2 linked regions of the Arabidopsis thaliana genome follow. The protein of the gene in region 1 interacts with the protein of each later gene in a pairwise test. Each region holds a gene or a part of one and is shown in the gene's direction. Other genes may lie near its edges.

Evidence for each region.
Region 2: the proteins of BBX12 (region 1) and BPC6 interact in binary tests that used the Arabidopsis thaliana proteins (3 or more experiments, as listed by UniProt).

Annotation. Positions count from the first base shown.
Region 1 is NC_003071.7:14,187,404-14,192,197, reverse strand, and holds BBX12 (B-box type zinc finger protein with CCT domain-containing protein), read left to right. Parts: upstream 1-1,943; 5' UTR 1,944-2,151; coding exon 2,152-2,868; intron 2,869-3,097; coding exon 3,098-3,247; intron 3,248-3,610; coding exon 3,611-3,858; intron 3,859-3,945; coding exon 3,946-4,039; 3' UTR 4,040-4,275; coding exon of another isoform or gene 4,276-4,278; 3' UTR 4,279-4,284; downstream 4,285-4,794. Other genes in the region: AT2G33490 (hydroxyproline-rich glycoprotein family protein), read right to left, coding at 4,532-4,543, 4,739-4,794.
Region 2 is NC_003076.8:16,998,697-17,003,141, forward strand, and holds BPC6 (basic pentacysteine 6), read left to right. Parts: upstream 1-1,562; 5' UTR 1,563-1,730; intron 1,731-2,495; 5' UTR 2,496-2,590; coding exon 2,591-2,647; intron 2,648-2,798; coding exon 2,799-3,770; 3' UTR 3,771-3,911; downstream 3,912-4,445. Other genes in the region: AT5G42510 (Disease resistance-responsive (dirigent-like protein) family protein), read right to left, coding at 1-120. UniProt on the Arabidopsis thaliana protein: Transcriptional regulator that specifically binds to GA-rich elements (GAGA-repeats) present in regulatory sequences of genes involved in developmental processes.

The DNA of each region.
Region 1 (4,794 bases):
TGCTATATCTATATAGTATGGTTTAATAGAATATTAGGTAGATGTATGTATAATTAACTTCAGATTGCATAACGTTTATTATTGAACTGGTAAAATCGAGGGAAAACAAAAAAAACTTACCATTCTTAGTTACGTACATACACAAAACATGCAAAGAAAGATAACTACCTAACTATAAATTACGTTTTTGTTGTTGCTGCAAAAATACAAAAAGGAAGATAAAGAGAAGGAATTGTGATAGACCAATATATACAGTGGCAATAACATTTTTACACCATACCATTATATATATAGGGAATAAAGGTATTGTCTGGAGGAAAATGACGTTTCCGTAAACAAAATAATGATAAAACAAAAATAGTGAAAAGAGTGAAAGAGAGAAGTGCAAAAGGGAATCTGTTGGAAGTGTAGAAAGAGAAAGCGACGACCACTTCAATCCAGTGTTGTTCTTTCTTTCTTTTTTCCTAGAAAATTAAAGATATTGCTTTTTACCAAATAATAATTTTATCTTGGTGGTAGAAAGGTTTGCAAGAGTTGTAATATACAGAAAGAGAGACAATGGGACCTAAGAAGGGAATCTCTGAGGAGAGACAGAGATGTTTCAGATCGAAAGAGACGCCAAATTGTGTCTGTCACTCTGTTCTTGTGTGTGGGTCTCCTCTCCTTCCTTCCTTATCGAATCCATATTCCATTTTGCTTTTTTTTCCCTAGAAGATTTTTAAGAATCCGAATTTTAACATAATCTTTTGTTTAGTATAATTCACTTTCCTTCTTTTTTAATTACTTTTTAAGGGTTCTTTAAAGGTTGTGTTTAGTTAAATTTTCGTTTCTCTATTATGAATTCAAGTGATATAGAGAATAAAGATTTAAGTGATATAGATGATAAAAGTTCACTTGTTAAAGAATAGTTGAATATTGAAGTCCTTTATGGTTTCGAAACCGAATTTACAACGTGATTTTCTGTAGGTTTTCTACATAATAAAGAATCAAAATTCGTAAAAGTAAGAATATAGAATATCCATTCCAAGTGAGTTTGAAACACATAATAGCTAAGTAACATGTGAAAAAACCTTAGGGCATAGGAAAATAGCAAAGGTTGGATGTTTTGTTTCTCGCACCACATAATGGGCAATGATTGTAACACCATTCATCTTCTATTCATATAACAACACAAGTACACAACCAATAATGATTTGTCACATAGGTGAAAGCGACACATGTGTGGGAGGAAAATTATGTTCGCTGAGCTTGATGAATCAATGAGAGAAAACATGGCTTTAAGAGATGAATCAAAGATGGATGTAAAAGGTAAAAAACACATCCTCATCCGATTGAAAAGTGGAAATCAGTAATTTATTTCCAACGTTTACTATATTCCAAACCTATGGACAAACATCTTGAGTTTTGGACAATTCTTAGAGATATGTTATTGATATTCGACTAAAAGATAATAACCTTTCTAAAAGAGACCAAGAAAGCAATCTCGTTACCAAGATACCAATGTCAAAAATAGAATGTTGTTATTGACATTCAAAATGACATTGCACAATGTTTCAAGATGTGCTACAACAGAACTTGCAAGATTTTTGGATATTTGGATACTTGGTGTGAATTCATGGCTGGATTTAGGATATGTTCCTAGTATATATATATTGACTTATTTGTTTTCTAAATTGCCAAATAATGATCATCTGGAACGATTTACGAGTTAGTAAACTTCGTACATGTGAAATATTCTCCTTATCGATCATGTCGTTAACATCCTAACGTCCCATCCAAATAATGGGCTTAGAATTGGGCTTAGCAGAAACATGGGCTAAAATCCTTGTGCGTGGATCTGAAAGAAAGGCAGCCAATTAATGTGCCTAAATCCATACACTGTAATGCAGCCAATTATTTCTCAAGTAATTAATTACCTATGTAAATGCAACTTTATTTCCGGTACAACAGTTAGATATTTTCAATTAATGACATCTTCTTCTTCTCCTTTCACTGCAAAACCGAAAGCTTGAGACTTTGAGATTATGTCTATGTCATCTTCTTCTTCTTCCATCGATCACTTCATCACCTTTCGTCATCTTGATCTTATTCTCCACTGTATAAAATCAGCGAGATTTTAAGGGATTGTGAAGGTACCATCTTAAACACAAAATGGGTACTTCTACTACAGAGAGTGTGGTGGCGTGTGAATTTTGCGGCGAGAGAACGGCGGTTCTGTTTTGTAGAGCCGATACGGCGAAGCTTTGTTTGCCTTGTGACCAGCACGTGCACTCGGCGAACCTTCTCTCGAGGAAGCATGTTCGTTCTCAGATCTGTGATAACTGTAGCAAAGAGCCGGTGTCCGTACGTTGCTTCACAGATAATCTCGTATTGTGTCAGGAGTGTGATTGGGATGTTCACGGAAGCTGTTCCTCCTCCGCGACGCATGAACGCTCCGCCGTGGAAGGGTTTTCAGGTTGTCCTTCGGTTTTGGAGCTTGCTGCTGTGTGGGGAATCGATTTAAAGGGTAAGAAGAAAGAAGATGACGAAGACGAATTGACTAAGAATTTTGGGATGGGGTTGGATTCGTGGGGTTCTGGATCTAACATCGTTCAAGAACTGATTGTTCCTTATGATGTGTCTTGCAAAAAGCAAAGCTTTAGCTTTGGGAGGTCTAAGCAGGTAGTGTTTGAACAGCTTGAGTTACTGAAGAGAGGCTTCGTTGAAGGCGAAGGAGAGATTATGGTTCCGGAGGGAATCAATGGCGGAGGAAGCATTTCTCAGCCATCTCCGACGACGTCGTTTACTTCTTTGCTTATGTCTCAAAGTCTTTGTGGTAATGGTATGCAATGGAATGCTACTAATCATAGCACTGGCCAGAACACTCAGGTCCATTTCTCTATCTCTCTCTGGCAATTGATTTTAGGGTTTTAAGTTTGGTCATGTGTTCTTGCTTTTGTGCTTAGAACATGTTACAGTAACTTCAGTTGGATCTTTAGGTCTCCAAATCTGTTAAGTTACCTGTCGGAACGTTGATTATTCTTTCTTGGTTGTCCTAATTAGAGATAAGACTCTGTTTTATGGCCTGGGGTTCACAGTGGAATATACGTTGTTGCAGATATGGGATTTTAACTTGGGACAGTCGAGGAACCCTGATGAACCTAGTCCAGTCGAAACTAAAGGCTCTACTTTCACATTCAACAACGTTACTCATCTCAAGAACGATACCCGAACCACCAATATGAATGCTTTCAAAGAGAGTTACCAGGTATTACATTGTTATTAGGTTTGGAATTGTAAACCATTTTATTTATCTCACAAATTGACAAACACAACGCACATTGCAGAACGTAATTAGAGTTTGTTCTATAGACAATAAACTCCCCCGATCCCTAAATTCAATCCCAAAACACTCCATACCTTAAACATTTGAATATTCCCTCATATATAGCTTAAGTTGGTGACTGATATACTGGTCTGGTAGTAGCTACATCTCATGGGTTTATTTCTATTGGTTAGAACATCTTGGAATGAATGAAACCTGATGTATTTATATCATAATTGATAAGTCAAACTACTATTTTTGGTATATCTTTGTCGGTGAACTGTGATACTTATAAGTAGAATGTAGCAGGAGGATTCCGTCCACTCAACTTCTACCAAGGGACAGGAAACATCTAAGAGCAACAATATTCCTGCTGCCATTCACTCGCATAAAAGTTCTAACGACTCCTGTGGCTTGCATTGCACGGAACATATTGCTATTACTAGTAATAGAGCCACAAGATTGGTGGCGGTAACGAATGCTGATCTAGAGCAGATGGCACAGAACAGAGATAATGCTATGCAGCGGTACAAGGAAAAGAAGAAAACGCGGAGGTAATGATGTTCTCCATTTTTTCTTTTAGTTTCCCTTTTGTAAGTTGATTGTCTTTCGAAATCGCTAATTTGTAATTGCTTCAGCAGATATGATAAGACCATAAGATATGAAACGAGGAAGGCGAGAGCCGAGACCAGGTTGCGTGTTAAGGGCAGATTTGTGAAAGCTACAGATCCTTAGATGTCTCTCCACGTTAGGTTTTACATTTGAGATCCTAAGTTAGGAACTTTTTTTGTTTTTTCTACTTTCAACTACCTTGTAAATGTAAATGATCGATCTTCAGCTGCATAATGTGTGGCCAGATTTTTGTAATTTTTACGTTTAACCTTCTAGAAGCAAAGTTTCTTAACCCAATCAAAAGAAGACAGACTCCACAGAAGTTAAACCCGTAAATCTCGGACGTAAAACATGTCACATCACTGGACAAAAAAAAAAAAAAAAGCTTCGTTGAGTGATAGTAGAAAAACCAAAATTCCTCAGGCAATTATTATTAACTCTGTTTGCCTCTATTTTTGTCATCATTCTCAAAAGGGATCAACTACTATATGTAATATACAACTAAGATCATCCATGAGACTAAAAATTGGAGGATATTTACATATATCTGCAACTATAGGGAATGCCTTCCTCCTACAGTTTTTAGGCAGCTACAAACGTCTTACACCTTACATCTTAAATCCTCCTCTGCAAATTCACCAATTAGAACGTATATCAGCAATTCTAGATTTTACACTTAAGCAGAACTTTGCGGAACACATGAAGGGAACCAAAAATCGGATTGCCCACATCTACTTAAACGTGACACACATGATGACTTTTTTACTCTAAACCACACAAAAAACTAATAGACAGTGAAAAGAAGTAAAATTAATGGTTTACCTCTTGTTTGGACATCATTAGGTGGTCTGCACGTTCGGGAAGAGCCTGTGGCGGTG
Region 2 (4,445 bases), on another chromosome or scaffold:
GGTGAATTTCTCCGGCTTGTAGCCTTGATACGGCGTTGTTGTGGAGTAAGCTGTGACGGACACGGCAAGAAGAAGAATAGATGACAAAAGAGGAAGAAGAAGCAGAAAACGTTTAGCCATGTTCGTTGTTTGTAGCTATGGAAATGTGAAAATGTGATTTATATATATACACAAAACATGATCGTTACGCAATTGTTGGCTCATAAAACATTTGAATATGTCGTTTCTCGATTGGTGACAACAACATGTCCGTTGACGTGGAAGTAAACTAGGTGGTTCGATTTATAAACAACTAGATATTTCCACTTGTACGAATCATGATATAAACTGGCAAATATATAAGGATGCACGACGAAAGAAAAACAAAACAAATAAGAATAAAACAAGATTCTGCATTGTGATACACTACATATAAATATATAAAGAAAGATATATAGTAGATGCATATAATTGAAATTAAGATCAAAGATGTACATAGACATTGATGTTTAAATTTAGGATTGTCAATCTGTATATATGTACCTAAGATATATATTAATATATACATATGGTTCCAAACTCAATACCAGTGTTCTCTAATTAATGATCTTATATTTTGTACACTGAATTAATCATCCACTGAGTCCCAAAAGAGGAGGGCATAGGTGCGACGGGCTAGAGTTAAATCATAAAATAGATTAAAAACAATACATGATATTTGAAACAATGATCAATGACAAGACTTTAGTTTTCTTGCAAAAAGTATATAACTTATTTTAGAAACTCCTTGAATTTTGTTATAAAACAAAATTGGTAGTTGCATAATTTTTTTTTTTCAAAAAATAAAACAACGATCAAGAATTTTGGTAGTTGCATAATTTTGAAGTACAGTTGTGCTAGTTACTCAATTAAACTTAAAATATATTATATCAATTGTTTGGAATAACATTCATCTTTCGTCTTCTCAGTTTACTTGGAATGCACGAGAGCTTTCTCGTTGTGAGAATAACTCTTGGGTCATGCCTAATGAGAAATGCATGGGGACGAGAATCCTCTGTCGAGTTAAAAAGTATCAATGTCTTAAGGCTACTATTAATAAAACAAATCTATTATTCAGATCAAGTAGGTGCTCTGTTTTAGGCTGCAGGAATCCACGTTCACATGGCGTCAAAGTTAAGTACGTTGGGGCATCAAATGTTGTTTGTGATAAAATCTCATAACAAATGTGCTACTATCTAATTATAGAGTCGATTGTTCTGAGGAAAGGTAACGTTTTATTGATATTTGGCGACCGAGACTGAAGTTTCAAAAAGGCCATATTAATATTGATCGTAAAATGTTAAATTATATATAAACTGTAATGACCACACCAGCCACACTTTAAATTTTATATAAAAATAATCTAACTGGTAATTACATAATAATACTAATAGACATTTTTTATTTTATTTTTTTCCAATTGGTCACCTAATTTTCAACAACAACAGTGCAACAGTAAAACACTTACCAAATGGGTGAAAAAAGAGTTAAAAGTTTAAAAATTTGTTTTTACCAAACGTAAAAACAGTTAGAAAGAAAGAAATCCATCTTCCTCTTCCCCGATCTGTTTCTTCCACAAAGATATTTTTCTTTATTCTCTCGCAGTTCAATTAGGGTTTCAATCTCTCTGCTCTGCTTGTCATCACCACCACCACCACCACCGTCGTCGTCTCTCTGTATCTCTCCGGCGGGTTCTCTCTCTACTTCCCCCGGTAAACTTCGCTTACTCTTCCACCATCTTCTTTCTCTCTTCGCCGCCCCTTTTCATTTCACTTTTTTCTCCAAGTTCTTACCAAGCTTCTAAGCTCATTTCCTATTAATCGAAGCTCGTTTGAAGTAATTAGGGCTTGGCTGAATCCTAATTGCTGAATTAAGTTACTCGATTTGATTCCAAATGGCTAAATCCTAATTTTGATGAGCTTTGCCTGTTTCTATCGACATTAGAGTTGGAGAATTTTTGGATTGTTTCTTTCTTTTGGATAGTGTATCGAACCAGATTTTGTGGTTTTAGAGTTCTTATTGATCATCATGAGTAGGCGATTTTGTGTTTTGTGTTTTCCCAAATTAGCTTTTGATGATTATCACTATGACTATAATCGATGATACTGTGTTTCTTTTAGCTGAGTTTGATATCTCACAGAGTTTATGTGTATTGGTTAGAATCGATTGATTGATGTGCAAATCCTGAAACAAAATGGTACCATTTCGATATTAATGTTGCTATTTTTAGTCATCTGAGTTTGAGTGTTTTTGTTGAAAGTTTTTCAGAAAATACTCATAGATGGACAAACAATTGTTTGCTTTGTCTCTGCTGAATCATATTCTGGAACTCAAGTATAGATTTTTTTTTTGCTTCATAGTCGTTTATGTATGTTCACTAATACTAGCAATGCTTTGGTGATTGGCTATTTTGCTTCATAGTAGTTTATTTATGAAATGGTCTTTTTTGACACTGTTTAATGATTGGCTATGTGCAGGAGGATTAAAAGATGGACCAGTCTTTTATTTTGATATTCCGTTAGCTTGTTCAGTTATTGTAGAAGCTGTACCGTCAAGACTTTTAATATCTCAAATGGATGATGGTGGGCATCGTGAGAATGGTCGGCATAAAGCAGCAGTTCAGGGCCAGGTACCTTGACAATCCCAAAGCTAAATCAGTTGTTTTCCTTTCTCTGCTCTATATATACATCTTATGGGTGTTCATCATGCTTGCGGCTAAACACCTCAGATTTGAGACTGTTTTTGATGGGAATGTATGATTTGTTCATGATGTAAAACAGTGGTTGATGCAGCATCAGCCGTCGATGAAACAAGTGATGTCGATAATAGCAGAGCGCGATGCAGCGATTCAGGAGAGAAATCTGGCGATATCAGAGAAAAAAGCAGCAGTAGCTGAAAGGGACATGGCGTTTCTTCAGAGGGACACCGCCATTGCTGAGCGCAACAATGCGATAATGGAGAGAGACAGTGCTCTTACAGCACTCCAATACCGTGAGAACTCTATGGTTACTGCTCCTGCTGCCAATATGTCAGCATGTCCACCAGGATGTCAAATATCACGTGGTGTAAAACACTTGCACCATCCGCACATGCATCATCATCATCAACAACATCACATACCTCAGTTGACTGAAAATGCATATGAAACCAGAGAGATGGAGCCAAATGATGGTCTCCCAACATCACCACCTGCCGGATCCACCTTGGAATCTGCCAAACCAAAACGTGGTAAAAGAGTGAACCCAAAGGCGACAACACAAACTGCTGCTAATAAGAGAGGGCCAAAAAATCAGAGGAAGGTTAAGAAAGAGAGCGAGGACGACTTAAACAAGATAATGTTTGTAAAGACGACCCATGACTACACAGACGAAGATTCAAGTAAGCATATCTTAATAGGATCAAAATCTGACTGGAAAAGTCAAGAAATGGTGGGGCTGAACCAAGTGGTTTACGACGAGACAACGATGCCACCACCTGTATGTTCATGTACAGGAGTTCTCAGACAGTGCTACAAATGGGGAAATGGAGGTTGGCAATCATCGTGTTGCACAACTACACTATCAATGTATCCTTTACCTGCACTGCCCAACAAAAGGCATGCTCGAGTTGGTGGACGGAAAATGAGCGGAAGCGCGTTCAACAAGCTTCTAAGCCGGCTTGCTGCAGAAGGGCATCATGATCTTTCAAACCCGGTCGATCTGAAGGACCATTGGGCAAAGCACGGTACAAACCGCTACATTACGATTAAATGATATGTGCATTTAGGTGTGAGTTGTTCTTACGACATTATCTGATTTTAAATCATGTGTACTAAATTCAAATAAACTCGAGAGGAAAAGAATTGTATGTGGAGCCAATGTTATGTTGTATTATATAATTCGAAAATTTTTAGTAACATCACAAACCGTAGAATTATTATTTTTTGTTCACATCAACAAAGAAAAACTAGACAACTTTTTCTTTTGAACTGATACTGAATCATGGATGGAATGTGAGCTATTTCACTCACCTACAACTTACGGACTGTGTGAACAAATGGATCTGATCATATCTATCAATTTGGAATTTTTGATAAAGAAATCACAAATGATTAGTCTAGGGAGATTTCACTGTGATATACGACTCGAGAGTTTTCTCTGCTTTTTTTGTGGGACCTATATATTTTATTTATTAAGAAAAAACATTATGTTTCATTAAAAATAAACCAATCAGTCGCACTAAAATAATCTAAATACTGTATAAACAAAAAATAAAATGATAAAAACATTAAAAGCTATGATGTATTTATTAGTATAAATACTTTTGATGTTTAAATTTATAATAATATAATTGAGAGTCAAATAATTTTTGTTTTCGTTTTTATTTAATATATTAATTTTGAAAAATAAAATAACTAATATAATAAGAAAATATGAAAAACAATTCTA